Callithrix jacchus: one gene and its partners. The protein of the gene in region 2 purifies or fractionates together with the protein of the main gene of each other region. This does not show direct contact. Links are inferred from orthologs where the notes say so. Each region holds a gene or a part of one and is shown on either strand. Other genes may lie near its edges.

What was found.
Region 1: the proteins of PPP2R1A (region 2) and PPP2R2D purify together in Homo sapiens (affinity purification with mass spectrometry; 9 studies listed by BioGRID and IntAct, counting the BioPlex papers as one, with this or other methods). This does not show direct contact. The link is inferred for Callithrix jacchus from reciprocal best matches to the Homo sapiens genes PPP2R1A and PPP2R2D.
Region 3: the proteins of PPP2R1A (region 2) and PPFIA3 purify together in Homo sapiens (affinity purification with mass spectrometry; 4 studies listed by BioGRID and IntAct, with this or other methods). This does not show direct contact. The link is inferred for Callithrix jacchus from reciprocal best matches to the Homo sapiens genes PPP2R1A and PPFIA3.

What each region holds. Positions count from the first base shown.
Region 1 is NC_133513.1:125,246,384-125,251,140, reverse strand, and holds part of PPP2R2D (serine/threonine-protein phosphatase 2A 55 kDa regulatory subunit B delta isoform), read right to left. Parts: intron 2,035-4,757; exon of another isoform or gene 1,863-2,034; intron 1,225-1,862; coding exon 1,047-1,224; intron 1-1,046. UniProt on the Homo sapiens protein: Substrate-recognition subunit of protein phosphatase 2A (PP2A) that plays a key role in cell cycle by controlling mitosis entry and exit. Involved in chromosome clustering during late mitosis by mediating dephosphorylation of MKI67.
Region 2 is NC_133523.1:45,600,309-45,605,065, reverse strand, and holds part of PPP2R1A (serine/threonine-protein phosphatase 2A 65 kDa regulatory subunit A alpha isoform), read right to left. Parts: intron 1,099-4,757; coding exon 925-1,098; intron 676-924; coding exon 615-675; intron 1-614. UniProt on the Homo sapiens protein: The PR65 subunit of protein phosphatase 2A serves as a scaffolding molecule to coordinate the assembly of the catalytic subunit and a variable regulatory B subunit.
Region 3 is NC_133523.1:42,941,959-42,946,715, reverse strand, and holds part of PPFIA3 (liprin-alpha-3), read right to left. Parts: coding exon 4,616-4,757; intron 2,024-4,615; coding exon 1,877-2,023; intron 1,789-1,876; coding exon 1,654-1,788; intron 1,219-1,653; coding exon 1,135-1,218; intron 985-1,134; coding exon 853-984; intron 382-852; coding exon 319-381; intron 186-318; coding exon 106-185; intron 1-105. UniProt on the Homo sapiens protein: May regulate the disassembly of focal adhesions. May localize receptor-like tyrosine phosphatases type 2A at specific sites on the plasma membrane, possibly regulating their interaction with the extracellular environment and their association with substrates.

The DNA.
Region 1 (4,757 bases), on a different chromosome or scaffold from region 2:
TTAGCTATAAAGAAGGCCGATGACACCTCCTGAACTCCAGAGGAGCTCATGCTAAGAGGATTGGGATGAGCATCCTCACCAGACTACAGCAACACCCCGACCTGGGGGAGACGCAGACACGCGAATACCGCTTTCATCCCGCTGCAGTTATTAATGTTCTACGGAAACCCTCTGATGGCAAGACAGTACATACTTCTTAATCATGTAGACAGGAAAAGCAAGCGAGCACCACCGGGGAGAATCCCACACTCCCACACGTAATTACAGACACAAGAATACCGCCGAATTCCAAAAGACGCTGCTTTTCTAATGACCTGACATTAAGAGCTTGTTCTGTGTAGTTAGAGCAAAGGCAACATAGCAGGCTACCCTATACAGAAATCCTCCAACTGAGAAAAATACAGGGCAGAATTCAGCGGTGGGCCAATTCAGACAGCAGGGCCAGCCTCACCCTTTTAGCTGAAACTACTAAGAAAATCAACACACGATGTGGAACCCCAGCTCAAGCCACGGGACAGCAGAGGGACGCATTGGATGGCAGGGCCCCGGGAGAGGCTGCAGACAAAACATGCCCCCTGCTCCCTGGCTGCTAGCTAGAAAGGAGCCCACGTGAGGATGGCGAGGACCCCCAGACCATGCACAGCCTCAGGAGAACACGGGTTCTCCCGGAAGCTGCTGCTCAGATGGGTGATTAAATGCCACTCTAACCTAAGCCAATATTTTCTATCATCCATCAGCAAATTCAGGAAAAAAAATAAATAAAAAAAGAACAAGTAATGTTGGTTTTTCAAATGCAGCCTATTTAAAACTATCTCTGATTAAACCAGGCAGGCAGTGGACTTCAGAGAACTGTTTCCAAACGTAGAAGGAAATCCGTATTTTTAGGAACAAATGTTTCAATTCACAGAGAACTTACATCGCAGGCCACTGTGCAGCAATGACATTTACGAGACTAGACTCAGATACAGGCGTGTAAAGAACAAGAGAAATCACCATCTAAAGAGCAGCCTCAAGGAAGATGCCAGTGTCCCTCTGAGGAAGGATACTAAAGCTTCTATCTGTGATTTCTAAGTGCCATAAATTAATTCTCAGGTCATCTGCAGAAAGATACGTTTCATGATCACTATTTACTGAAATGGAATTTATATGATATGTGTGAGCATTTGCAAAAATTCGCCGTGGACTCGCTTCTACCATTAGATCCATGGGCTTCAATATTGGGACCTAAAAATGGAAGGAAACAGGAATTCAAAACAAAGATCGCAGTGGCATAGAATTAAAACACTTACAGTAGATAACAGAGGAGGACAAGTTTGCGTCCATGGCTAAGTAAGAACTGCGTACAGGCAATACCTCTAAGTAACCACTTAGCAGTTATGAAAATAGGCTACAAAATGGAATACTCTATTCCAAGTCTTCCCCCTTGCTTCCATTGCTGAGGCTGACATGTTCCTGCTGAATAAAAAGCTGGCAGGCTAACAAGCTGCCCGGGCGCTGAGGCCTGCGCTCGCTCCCTCTCGTGTGTCCTCCAGTGGCCACACTGAGACGCTGGACAGCAAAGTCTTCCCCTCCCTTTGTCCTCTCCTTGCAGCCGGATGCACAAACCCTCCCTCACTGCACCAGGAGTATGCTTCTCGGAGCAAACCCCACAAGCCTCTGCCGGCTCCAGGGACTGCACAGGAGGGTGCACAGGAGGGCCCTGGGGAGCTGAGGATGTTCCATGTCTCAGTCTGGGGCTGGCTATATGGGCATGTCCAGTCAAATGGAGCTGGTCACTTATGGGGCACATGTATTATTATGGGGTATGTATTATATATTATACTTCATTTGTGGTTAAAACAAGTAAAAGGTACCTCCCGTACCCATTTCTGTGTTGAGTGCTGGGAAAGTCCATTTCCAATCACACTGAAATGGAAAGGACAGAGAAGAGGGTGCTGGCCGGAGGGCGCCTGTGGTCAGAGGCGAGAGCTCAGGCACGAGGAATAGCATCACACGTGAAAAAAGGAAAAGGGCCTGCATCTCACTAACATCCAGCTGGAAGAAAAGCATAAGCTTTAAAATCAAAACAAAAAAATTAATGATAGGATCTTTAGTTATTCTTGTAATTAGAAACCAAAAGGAAGAACCGTGAAAGCTTAGGGGAAAAAAATCTCTCAGCTGAGTCTTGTCTGGCTGATTTTATAGAAAATAAACTTGAAACAGTATGTACAGTGAGACTTCCCTGATTTTAACACAGTTAGTGCTGACCACACCCTTCGAGTCTCTAGAGAAAGGGTCAGGTCTACCAGGCTTAAAAACACACACCTGCCACAATCCTCTAACAAACCTCCAATTAATCAAAACACACGATACTTACAAAGATTCCTTCCTTTATTTAAAAAAAATTTCATTTACATACAAAATAATATGTTTTCATTTTTAGAGATGGGGTCTTGCTATGTTGCCCAGGCTGGTCTTGAACTTCGGGGCTCAAGTGACCCTCCCATCTCAGCCTCACAAAGTGCTGGGATTACAGGTATGAGCCCCCGCGCCTGGCCAAGACTCCTTCTTTTAATTACATCCCTTTCCTGGCACTAAAATGATTTAGACAAAAAATTTAAAAGCAGCAACATTTCTGACTCTTCCCCAGTTAGGGTTAGAATGCATTAACAGCCCACTCTGAACTGTAAGATCTCAAATACTGACCTAAGTCAATGTAGAGAATTATGTAGTCTGTGGTCTCTTCTCCGAGTACTGACTAATGAAATAACTACACTTCTCACATGCCTTCAGTAGGGCCACCTATTATACCTGTTTTATTTAGGCGAAACCTACAAAAGCAGCCTTAAATAAAACCAAGACTGGGCCTAATAAAGGCCTACTGTTTTCTCAAAACAAGCACGTGAGCTTGAGGGTGGTGGCGGGGTCCCATCAGGAGGAACAGGGGTTTCTGAGGGTGGGTTGTGCACATGTACCCCGTGGGAGATGGTGGGAGGTGCTGCTGGCTGCAGAGATGGACAAGGCTGGAGCAGGTCAAGTGCCCGCCCTTGGGGTCCCATCACTTCCAGTTTAGAATCAGTGCCCGCCCTCGGGGTCCCATCACTACCAGTTTAGAATCAGTGCCCGCCCTTGGGGTCCCATCACTACCAGTTTAGAATCAGTGCCTGCCCTCGGGGTCCCATCACTTCCAGTTTAGAATCAGTGCCCACCCTCAGGGTCCCATCACCTACCTCCAGTTTAGAATCAGTGCCCGCCCTTGGGGTCCCATCACTACCAGTTTAGAATCAGTGCCCGCCCTCGGGGTCCCATCACCTACCTCCAGTTTAGAATCAGTGCCCGCCCTCGGGGTCCCATCACTTCCAGTTTAGAATCAGTGCCCACCCTCAGGGTCCCATCACTTCCAGTTTAGAATCAGTGCCCGCCCTTGGGGTCCCATCACTTCCAGTTTAGAATCAGTGCCCGCCCTCGGGGTGTCTATCTCACTTCTCATTTAGGATTAGCAGTTTCATGATGGAACTGCATAGCTACTGTCACTATCACTAAGAACAATATACACTAATCCACGGACGCAAGAGCAGCGGTCCTGTGTGACAGACGTCACCCACAATTTAGATGAAAACATCCTGGTTCAAATTAGGACCCTATAAGCTAGATTTTCAGCAAATGCCACAGCCCTTCCCAGCTTTGATGAACTCAGGAAATACAGCGGTAGTATGGATGTGACAGGTCTGAGGACACTCCTCCTGGAGAGTGCCTAACCCCAGGTGCACCCGCCCTGCACAGCAAAGCTGGAGAAATGGCACCAGAACAGACCCAGCATCATTCCTAGGGGCACGTGTGTTAGCAGCGGCCTTCTGTGTGGCACTTCCAAAGACTAATGTGGAATGGGCTTGCTCACTCGGTCTTCACTTGATAAACAATAGTGTAATGGGGCTGAAATCTCATTAAAAGCCAGCCAACCAACCACCCCAACCACCCACCCAACCATTAACCAACTAACCAACCCACCCACCCACCCCAACCAAATCACTCAACCAACCACCCAACTGATTAACCAACCACCCAACCTATTAACCAACCAACCAACCCACTCACCTACCCCAACCAAACCACTCAACCAACCACCCAACCGATTAACCAACCACCCAACCTATTAACCAACCAACCAACCCACCCACCTACCCCAACCAAACCACTCAACCAACCACCCAACCGATTAACCAACCACCCAACCTATTAACCAACCAACCAACCCACCCACCTACCCCAACCAAACCACTCAACCAACCACCCAACCGATTAACCAACCACCCAACCTATTAACCAACCAACCAACACACCCACCTACCCCAACCAAACCACTCAACCAACCACCCAACCGATTAACCAACCACCCAACCTATTAACCAACCAACCAACACACCCACCTACCCCAACCAAACCACTCAATCGATTAACCAACAAACCACCCCAACCAATTAACTAATCAACCAATGGTTTTCAAATCGAATAATGGCACTCCCTTGGGACCAGGCAGGGTTTCCTTCCAGGGACACACCTCTGCACAGGTACTGGTTTCTCACCAAGACACACCTGGGCTTGAGTCCAGTCTGCCTGACACCCTTCACCATGTTCCATCTAATTTAAGACACCATCAGTGGTGTGCAGCACCAGTCAATCATAAGACCAAGGTTTTAAGTTTTACCCGATTTCATAGATGTTAAAATATGAAAAAATCTAGGCAGCAGAACTGATTATGCTCATTTCATACTGTATGG
Region 2 (4,757 bases):
TCAAGAGATCGACACCATCCTGGTCAATGAGGTGAAACCCCGTCTCTACTAAAAATACAAAAATTAGCTGGGCATGGTGGTGCGCGCCTGTAGTCCCAGCTACTCAGGAGGTAACAAGAGCGAAACTCCGTCTCAAAAATAAAAAAAAAAAAAGAATAAGAAGTTTCAAAGAATGAGTGTGAGGCTCATTCAAAGATGGAAAGTGACTTGCTTTAGATGTGATGGTCACAAGGGCAGGATTCAAAACCATGGTCTGGCTGCTCAGTGGTCCTCTGGCTCTCCACTATACCAGGCAACCCTGGGTGATGTTTTATCCTCCTCCCACTCAATACTTCTCTAAGGCTCTAACAAGCAATGAGCTGGTCCATATGAGCATCCAGTGACTCGGGGAGTGATTCCAGCCTCCTCTACTGCCCGCCGTAAGTCCAGCCCCAACCAATCCATCCATCCTTTCTGGAGCTCCCACAGCCCCAGCCAATCCACCCATCCTTCCTGGAGCTCCCATAGCCCCAACCAATCCATCCATCTTTTCGGGAGCTCCCACAGCCCCAACCAATCCATCTATCCTTTCTGGAGCTCCCATCTCCTCTTGCTGCTCCTATGGAGGTACTCACCATGATCCACAAGCCAGGCCATGCACAAAGAGTTAAGTTTCTCATCAAAGAACTCCACTCCCTACAAGAGAAACCAAGGTAAGGGTTCCAGGGAGAGCAGACAGGGAGAGCTGCTCCTTTTCCTCCTCTCTCTTATTGAATCCAATTTACCTTTTAAGGCCCTATTTCCTGGGTCCCTTCCTTTGACTCCCCAGGCAGTTGTCATAGCCTCCACTAAGCCTTCAAAGCCCCCCCGTTTCCCCATCACATCCCTGGACAAACTGTACCTCCCCTGAGGCAGCACTGCCTGGTCCCAGGCCTCCTTACTCACCAGCTGTCCAGCCAGCAGGGGCATGTACTCAATGATGGCCAGCCGCACCCGCCACTTGGCATCCTCAGCCAGCTCCACAATGGCAGGGAGCAGGGACTGGGACAGCTGTCGGATGCCAATCACCTCGTTCACACAGTCCAGGTTGGAGATGATGTTCAGCCGTACCTCAGGGCACTGAGGAGAGGAAAGAAGGATTCTGAGAGAATGCCATGCACCCAGCAACCCAGGACAGGGTGGAAAGAGCTCAGCTGCATCAACTTGGTATAATGGACATCTCCTGAGGCCCTACACCTGCCCAAGCCCAGCTCCCAGTCCTGGGGACACAATAAAGGCACACAAAAAGCAGCAGCATGGATCACTGAGGTAAGTAGATTTTTAAACCTTACAATAGTCTCACAAGAAATGTTTATCCATTTTGAAAGGACTTAAATACAGCACCCTGGAAAAAAAAGGCAGACGTGCTTCTTCTAATCCTAGCTCTGCTGCTTTTTAACAAGGGTTCATTTTTGGATATCAATCCACAACATGGGAGAGGGAAGGGAAGAAAACTATTTCCTTATTAAAACTATTCTAGTCTAAAGAAATGAGTGAGCACTGAAATGAATCAATAAACCAAGTAACAAGGCTGGCAGGCCTGGCCTGTTCAAACCCTGCACATTCCGAAGATAGGACTGGCCCTTGCCCAGCTCCTGTCCTGGGTGCGTGGCCTCAAGGCGCTCAGTGCATGAGAAGAGAAGGTTCAGAGAATACACCTTACCCATTTAAAAAGACTTCTTTTTGGTGCACCAAGAAAAAAGTAGACTTTTTCATTTAGACAAGTTTATAAATTCTGGTGAGAGTCAAAATGTGAAATACAAAATTCATAAATCTAAAATGGAAGTCCCAAATACAAGTCAGATGAATTCCTCACACTAAGAAAACCATGCTGGTTCTTTTTTTCTCTGTAAGAAGTTGCCCTGAGACAGGCTGGCTGCCAGCATGTGATTACCATGTCGTGCTTGCTGAAGGTGAAACTAGAGCAAAAAATGCTTCAATTCTAGTGTACTTGCAGCATGTATGGGCTTGCCTTCACACTGGGCTGAGCCTGGATCCTTCCCGATGCCAGAGGCAAAATGCTCTCGAAAACTCTGGAGAGGTGTGAAATGGCATAGCAGACAACTTGAGGGGCTCTCACCTACCAACTTATGCCATTAAAGCATCAAAATAAATAAAAATTGTATATATAACATCTATAAAAGATTATAAAAGAAAATATGTGCATGTGAAGCATAACTCAGATATATTACTTAAGTCATAAAATTTGTCATGAACATTAATGATGATTTAAACTTTTAGCAACTGATGTAAATAACTGATTAAAAATACTATACTGTAGGATGGGTGCGGTGGCTCATGCCTGTAATCCCAGCACTTTGGGCCGGGGCCATGGCTGAGGCGGGCGGATCACCTAAGGTCAAGAGTTCAAGACCAGCCTGACCAACATGAAGAAATCCTGTCTCTAATAAAAATACAAAATTAGCCAGGCGTGGTGGCACATGCCTGTAATCCCAGCTACTGAGGAGGCTGCGGATGGAGAATAGATTGCAAGCGAGAGGTGGGGGTTGTGGCAAGCCAAGATCATGCCATTGCACTACAGTCTGGGCAATAAGAACTCCATCTCAAAAAAACAAAAAACATGCCAGGTGTGGTGGCTCAAGCCTGTAATCCCAGCACTTTTGGAGGCCGAGGCGGGTGGATCACGAGGTCAAGAGATCGAGACCATCCTGGCCAACATGGTGAAACCTCGTCTCTACTAAAAATACAAAAAATTAGCTGGGCATGGTGGCGCGTGCCTGTAATCCCAGCTACTCCAGAGGCTGAGGCAGGAGAATTGCCTGAACCCAGGAGGCTGAGGTTGCAGTGAGCCGAGATCGCGCCATTGCACTCCAGCCTGGATAACAAGAGCGAAACGCCCTCTCAAAAAAAAAAAAACAAAAAAAAAAACAAAAAAACCCCACATTGTTAATAACCCATTAATAGGGAATAACCCAGAACAAAAAATATATTTAAAATAGCACATTCTTTTCATTTTTCGTTTTTTTTTAAGATGGGGTTTCACCATGTTGGTCAGGCTGGTCTTGAACTCCTGACCTCAGGTGATCTGCCCCAGGTGGTCTTGAACTCCTGACCTCAGGTGTTCTGCCCACCTTGACCTCCAAAGTGCTTGGATTATAGGCATGAGCCACCAGCCCTGTCGCACATTCTTTTCAATGTATCAAAAAATTGACTAATTCTGGGGCTAAGAGATTATTCCACTGTAGCGTAAATGAACAACGTAACTTTTTGGGGCATGGGGGACTGAAATGTGATACTTTCTGTTACAGTATTTCCTCCAACTTCCTAGCACGCCTGTGTACAGAAAAGAAGGGGATGGGGAAGAGCCAAGGATTGAGGCCTTTGGGAACCAAGACGTCATATACCAGCAAACGATTGCACCATCTGCCCAGTTTTTCACTACCAAGGCAAAAACCACCATGTGGTCCCTCTACCTCCCGAACAATCTTGAATCCTTCCATATCACTGCAGCCTTTTCTCTACATACCCTCAATCTAGCCTCAGTCTTCCAGACTCCCACAGCAGCCTCTGGTTTGGTCTTCCTACATTTCTGCTGGCCACCTCACTTTAACCTTCCCTTTACATAAGCCTTAGGGTGCCTTCTAATACCAACTGTATTCTGGCTCCTGCACTTGCCCAGAGTCAAGTCCAAATTCCTTCCCCAGTGGTCACCCCAATGATCTCTCTAGTCATTACCCAGCACCTCCCCTCATCCTCTGTAATCCAGGTAACCTGAACTGCTAGATGTGATCATGTGACCCTCCCTGGCCAATGGGTGTATGGGGTACAAGCACGCGTGGGGAATCTTGTCCTTCAGAGAACTGGGTCTGCTGTTGTCTGTGCCTGACCCCTCCATGCCGGCTAAGATGCTAAAAACTGGAGCAGTTGCCTGAGACTCTGAGACAGTTGAGGTCAGCAGGGCAAACCCACCAGTGTAGGCCCGCCTAGACTGCTATGAGAGAAAAAAAAATCCTCCATCTAATTTAAGCCAGAAGGTATTCTGGGGTCTCCATTACAACACCTTAGCCTAAACCCTAAAAAACATGAACTCAACTGTAACAGCACCTTTAACACCTTAAGGGCATCATGGGATTGCCTGTACGTCTCTGCTGCCAGTCTCTGAAGGCTTTTGAGGATCAAAACTGTCTTATTTTAGGCTGGGCGTGGCACTTCACACTTGTAATCCCAGGCCTTTGGAAGCCAAGGAAGGAGAATTGCTTGAGAACGAGATACCAAGACCAACCTGATCAACACAGCAAGACCCCTGTCTCTAGAGCAAAAAAAAAATTTTTTTTAATTATCTTTATTTTATCTTATTACTTTTTTAAGATGGGGTTTCACCATCTTGGTCAGGCTGGTCTTGAACTCCTGACCTCAGGTGATCCGCCCGCCTTGGCCTCCAAAGCACTTGGATTACAGGCGTGAGCCACCACACCTGGCCAGAAAATTTTTTAAAAATTATCTAAGCATGGTGGCTCTTGCCTGTAGGTAGTCCCAGCTACTTGGGAGGCTAAGATGGGAGGATCACTTGAGCCTGGAAGGTGAAGGCTGCAGTGGACCACGACCACACCACTGCAGTACAGTGTGGACAACAGAGCAAGACCTTATCTCAAAACATAAATAATAATAATTATTTTTTTTTCAGAGACAGAATATTGCTCTGAAATCCAGGCTGGAGTGCAGTGGTGTGAAACTGGCTCATTGCAACCTCTGCCTCCTGAGTTCAAGTGAGTCTCCTG
Region 3 (4,757 bases), about 2.7 Mb from region 2:
GAGGGGTCAGTGGAAGTCTTGGGAGGACAGGAAGTGGGGATCAGAAGGGAGGAGCTTGGCCAACAGGGCTCAGTGGCAGAGGCAGGACAGGAGGGCTGCTGTCACCTGGAGTAGGAGGATGGCGGCCTCCCTCGCAGCTGGTCGATCTCCATTTGCATCCGCTCCATTTCGGCCAAGAGCTGCTCCTGGGGGTCGGGGTTGGAGGTGTCGGGTTAGCATCTGCTCCACCCGGGAGGAACAGCCCCTGCCAGCCTTGTGGACCATAGCCTCGGCAACCCCTGCCCTACATCCTCCTGCTGTTCCCCCGGGGCACCCTACCTTGTTTAGAAGCAGCTCATCCTGAAGTTTCTTCATGTTGGCAATCTCCTCGCTCAGAGAGTTCTGTGGGGACAGAGGTGAAGTGAGGAGGTGGGGCCTGAGGGGGGCACGCCCTTGGAGCTGCAGGCAGCTCCCAATGAGCACAGATAGGCCTGAGGGGACCCAGGAGGAATGAGATGGACACAAATGGTGAGTTTCAGGCGAGCAGGGGCAACAATGTTTCTGGGAAGAGGAGCCTCAGGATGGGACATCCTGTGCAATCTCAGAGGGTTCAGGGTTGGGGGCCCATGGGGTTGGAGGCTTTGGAAAAAGTCAAGGACTCAAGGCATGATCCGCAGAATTCGGCTCTTGGAACGTCTAGAATAGGTGAAAAAGCGGTCTGCGCAATAGAGCACAGAAGCCTGCCCAACTCAAAATGCTGGGGTTTAGGGAGGCCTCCAATAATAGATCTGGGGGAAAGGCCTGAGGACCCAGGATTCCACCGACAGGTATTCCCAGAATTCCGAGTCCCCACAGTCCTGGGTTGGGACGCACCTTCTCCTCCAGCGCCCCCATGCGCTCCTTGAGATGAAGCTGTAAGCGCTCGTTGGACTCGCTCAGCAGCTTGTCCACCGTCTCGGACAGCCGCTTATTGTGGTCATCATTCATCTTCTCCCGCTGCCTGGCCTGAATAGCAGAGCGGGTCGGGGGTGCTCAAGCCCACCCCGCCCAGAGCACCGCCCTTGTTCTAAGCCCCGCCCTGGCCATGCCCAACCCCCACTAAGCTCCGCCCCAGGCTCGAAGCCCCACCCTCTATGCAGCCCTCTGCCCTCTCACCCGCTGCAGCTCCTGATTCTTCTCTTCCAACTGGGCCTCCAGCTGCCGAAGCCGCTCCTCGAAATTCCCATGACGTTCCTCGGCCTAGAGGATGGAACCCATGGCCTGTGACTTTACCCTTCCAGGATCAGTCAGGCTCTGAGCCCCACCTCCTCCAAGGATGGACACCAGGCCACGCCCCCAAAGCACCAGGCTCCTCCCCTGCACCGCTGATTCAGGCCCCACCTACGTCTAGTCCACTTTTTCAGGACCTGGTCCTTCCCTCTCAGGTCCCAGGCCACCAGTCCTTTCAGTCCAGGTTAGAGAACCCGGCTCTCATCTGTCCCCCGTGCAATCATCCAGGCTCTCCCCATTCTAAGTTCTGTCCCTTTCCCAGCCCCCTGGGCCCCACCTCTTCCCCCAAATTCAGGCTTCGGACCTGGCTCCTACCTTCCAGATTCACCATCCCGCCTCCTCTGGGCCCCACCCCTCCCCCCATGCAAGACCCCGCCCCATCCCCAACCCGAGTCGTCCCCACACCTTGTTGAGCGCCGCCACGCGCTGTGCCAGCTGCGCCTCTATCTCCGGCAAGGTCTCCGCCTTCTGCAGCGTCTGCTGCAGTTTCTGCTTGGCGTCGTCCAACCACTCGGCCAGCTGACGGCTCTTCTCTTCACTCTGAGGGAGGGAGAGGCGGGGAGAGGACAGGCTGGGTCACTTGGGCCCCGGCGACGACCCCATCGCCCCTCCCGGGTTGAGCCCCCACCTGCCGGTACAGTGACTCCTTGCTGGCCAACTCGTTCTCCAGTTTGTCGTTGGCGTCGTGCAGAGACGTGGCCTCGCGCTGGGCACTCAGATAGCGCTTCTCCAGCGTCGTGATCCGCTCCTCCATATCTTCCCGCTGAGCCAGCGCCTGCAGAGGTGGAGGTGGCAAAAGGCCGTGTGGACTGTCAGCCCCTAGGGGAGCAGACAAGGCACTCTGCGGTGCCCTGGAAAACCAAGTGCCCTGACACAGGAGTCAGAATGGTGGTAATACACCTGCTAAGAGCTCCCAGGACTAGCCCATCTTCAGTCCCTGCCACCACCTGCGAGCTAAAATGCTGGTGCTACACCTGCCATGAGCTTCCAGGGCACTGCAGGCTCGGATCCTCCAGGTTTACAGGGTCTGAGACCCGTGGGATGTGAAGTCTCCACTCCAGCCGTCTCCTCAAAACCCGGGCCTTAGATTTCTCACTAATTTCTGGAGCAGTACAGACTTAGAATCAAAGACCAGTGTCCCGGGGTCTTCTGAGAAATAAGGATCCCTTTTACCTAGAAGGCAACACCTCCCAAGAGCTACCAGGTTAGCAAAGGCTTAGAACCCCAAAAGAGGTGCTCCAAGATCTCATGAGAGATGGATCCTCAATCTGGTAGTCCATGTGGTGGGCTACATGCTACATTTCCCAACAGCCCCCGCGGCTATCCAGGCTTAAAATCCCACATGAAGTCTCTCTTTTCGTTTTTTCTTTTCTTTAATATGGGGTTTCACCATGTTGGCTAGGCTGGTCTCGAACTCCTGACCTCAAGTGATCCACCCACCTCGGCCTCCCAAAGTGCTGGGATTACAGGCGTGAGCCACTACGCTGGCCCTTTTTTTTTTTTTTTTTTTTTTTTTTTTTTTTTGAGAGGGAGTCTTGCTCTGTCACCCAGGCTGGAGTCCAGTGGCGCGGTCTCGGCTTACTGCAACCTCTACCTAGCGGTTTCAGGCAATTCTCCTGCCTCAGCCTCCCGAGTATCTGAAACTACAGGGGAATGCCACCATACCTGGCTAATTTTGGTATTTTTTTTTTTTAGCAGAGACAGAGTTTCACCATGTTGGCCAGGCTTGAACTCCTGACCTCAAGTGATCCACCCAACTCGGCCTCCCAAAGTGCCGCGATTACAGGCATGAGCCACCGCGCCTGGCCTCTTTTGTTGTTGTTGTGGACAGTGTAGCTCTATCATCCTGGCTGGATTTTGATAGTCTCACTTATCACCCTGGCTGGAGTGCAGTGGTACCATCTCCGCTCACTGCAACGTCCACCTCCCAAGCTCAAGCGATTCTCATGCCTCGGCCTCCCTAGTGGCTGGGACTACAAACACCTGCCACCACACGCGGCTAATTTTTTTTTTTTTTTTTAATAGAGACTGGATCTCGCTATGTTGCCCAGGCTAGTCCTAGTCCTCATCCACTGCCGTCAAGAATCCAGGTCCCGCCAGGCGCGGTGGCGCACACCTGTAATCACAGCACTTTGGAAGCCCGAGGTGGGTGGATCACAAGGTCAAGGGATTGAGACCATCCTGGCCAAGATGGTGAAAGCTTGGCTCTACTAAGCCGGGCATTGTGGCAAACGCCTGTAATCTCAGGGACTCCGAAGGCTGAGGCAGGAGAATCACTTGAACCTGGGAGGTGGAGGTTGCAGTGAGCCAAGATCGCACCATGCACTCCAGAGCGAGACTCCATCTCAATACATAAATAAATAAATAAATAAAGATCCAGTTCTGAATATCCCAGAAGCTCCCTAGGGTCACCGGGTTTAGGATAAAGTGTCCTAAGCCAGGAAGGGGTGAAATAACCACAAAAGATTCCATCTAGAGGCTGGACGACGTGGCTCACACCTGTAATCCCAGTACTTTGGGAGGCTGATGTGAGCAGATCACTTGAGGTCAGGGGTTCGAGACTAGCCTGGCCAATATGGTGAAACCCCCTTTCTATTAAAGATACAAAGAAAGAAAGAAACAAAGCAAAAACTAGCCAGGAGTGGTGGGGCACACCTGTAGTCCCAGCTACTCAGGAGGCTAAGGCAGGAGAATCACCTGAACTGGGAGACAGAGGTTACAGTGAGGTTACAGTGAGCTAAGATCGCACCACTGCACTCCGGCCTGGGCGACAGAACTAGACTCCATCTCAAAAAAAAAAAAAAAAAAAAACAGTCTGGGCGCATGGTGGCTCACTCCTGTAATCCCAGCACTTTGGGAGGCTGAAGTGGGCGTATCACGAGGTCAAGAGATTAAGACCGTCCTGGCCAACACAGTGAAACCCGTCTTTACTAAAAATATAAAAATTAGCTGGGCATGGTGACACCCGCCTGTAATCCCAGCTATTCAGGAGGCTGAGGCAGGCGAATCACTTGAACCCAGGAGGCAGAGGTTACAGTGAGCTGAGATCATGCCACTGCACTCCAGCCTGGGATATGGAGCAAAACTCTTTCCCCCACAAAACAAAAAAATTAATTTCGAGGCACCAGAGAAGGACCCAGAGGTAACAAAGTGATGACGAGCAGACATGGAGCGCCTACTCTGTGCCACACGCTCACCCTCTGAGAATCACACATCTCCTTTCACAGGTGAGGAAACTAAATCTGAGAGAGGAGGAGCCACCCCGCCTGTGGACTGAATTGAAGTTCCACCATTCATGAGCAATGCACAAGAGAGAGGGCTACGGAAAGGCGAGCGATGGAAGGCAGCCCACCTCCCTGGGCCTCACCTCCTTGAGGTCGCGCTGCAGCTTGGAGTTGGCTTCCTCCGCCTTGCCCAGCTCGCGGTGCGCAGTGCCCAGCTCCTCCTCCAGCTGGCTCATCTGACGGCACAACACCGCCAGGCGCTCCCGCAGCTGGCACACCTCGGCG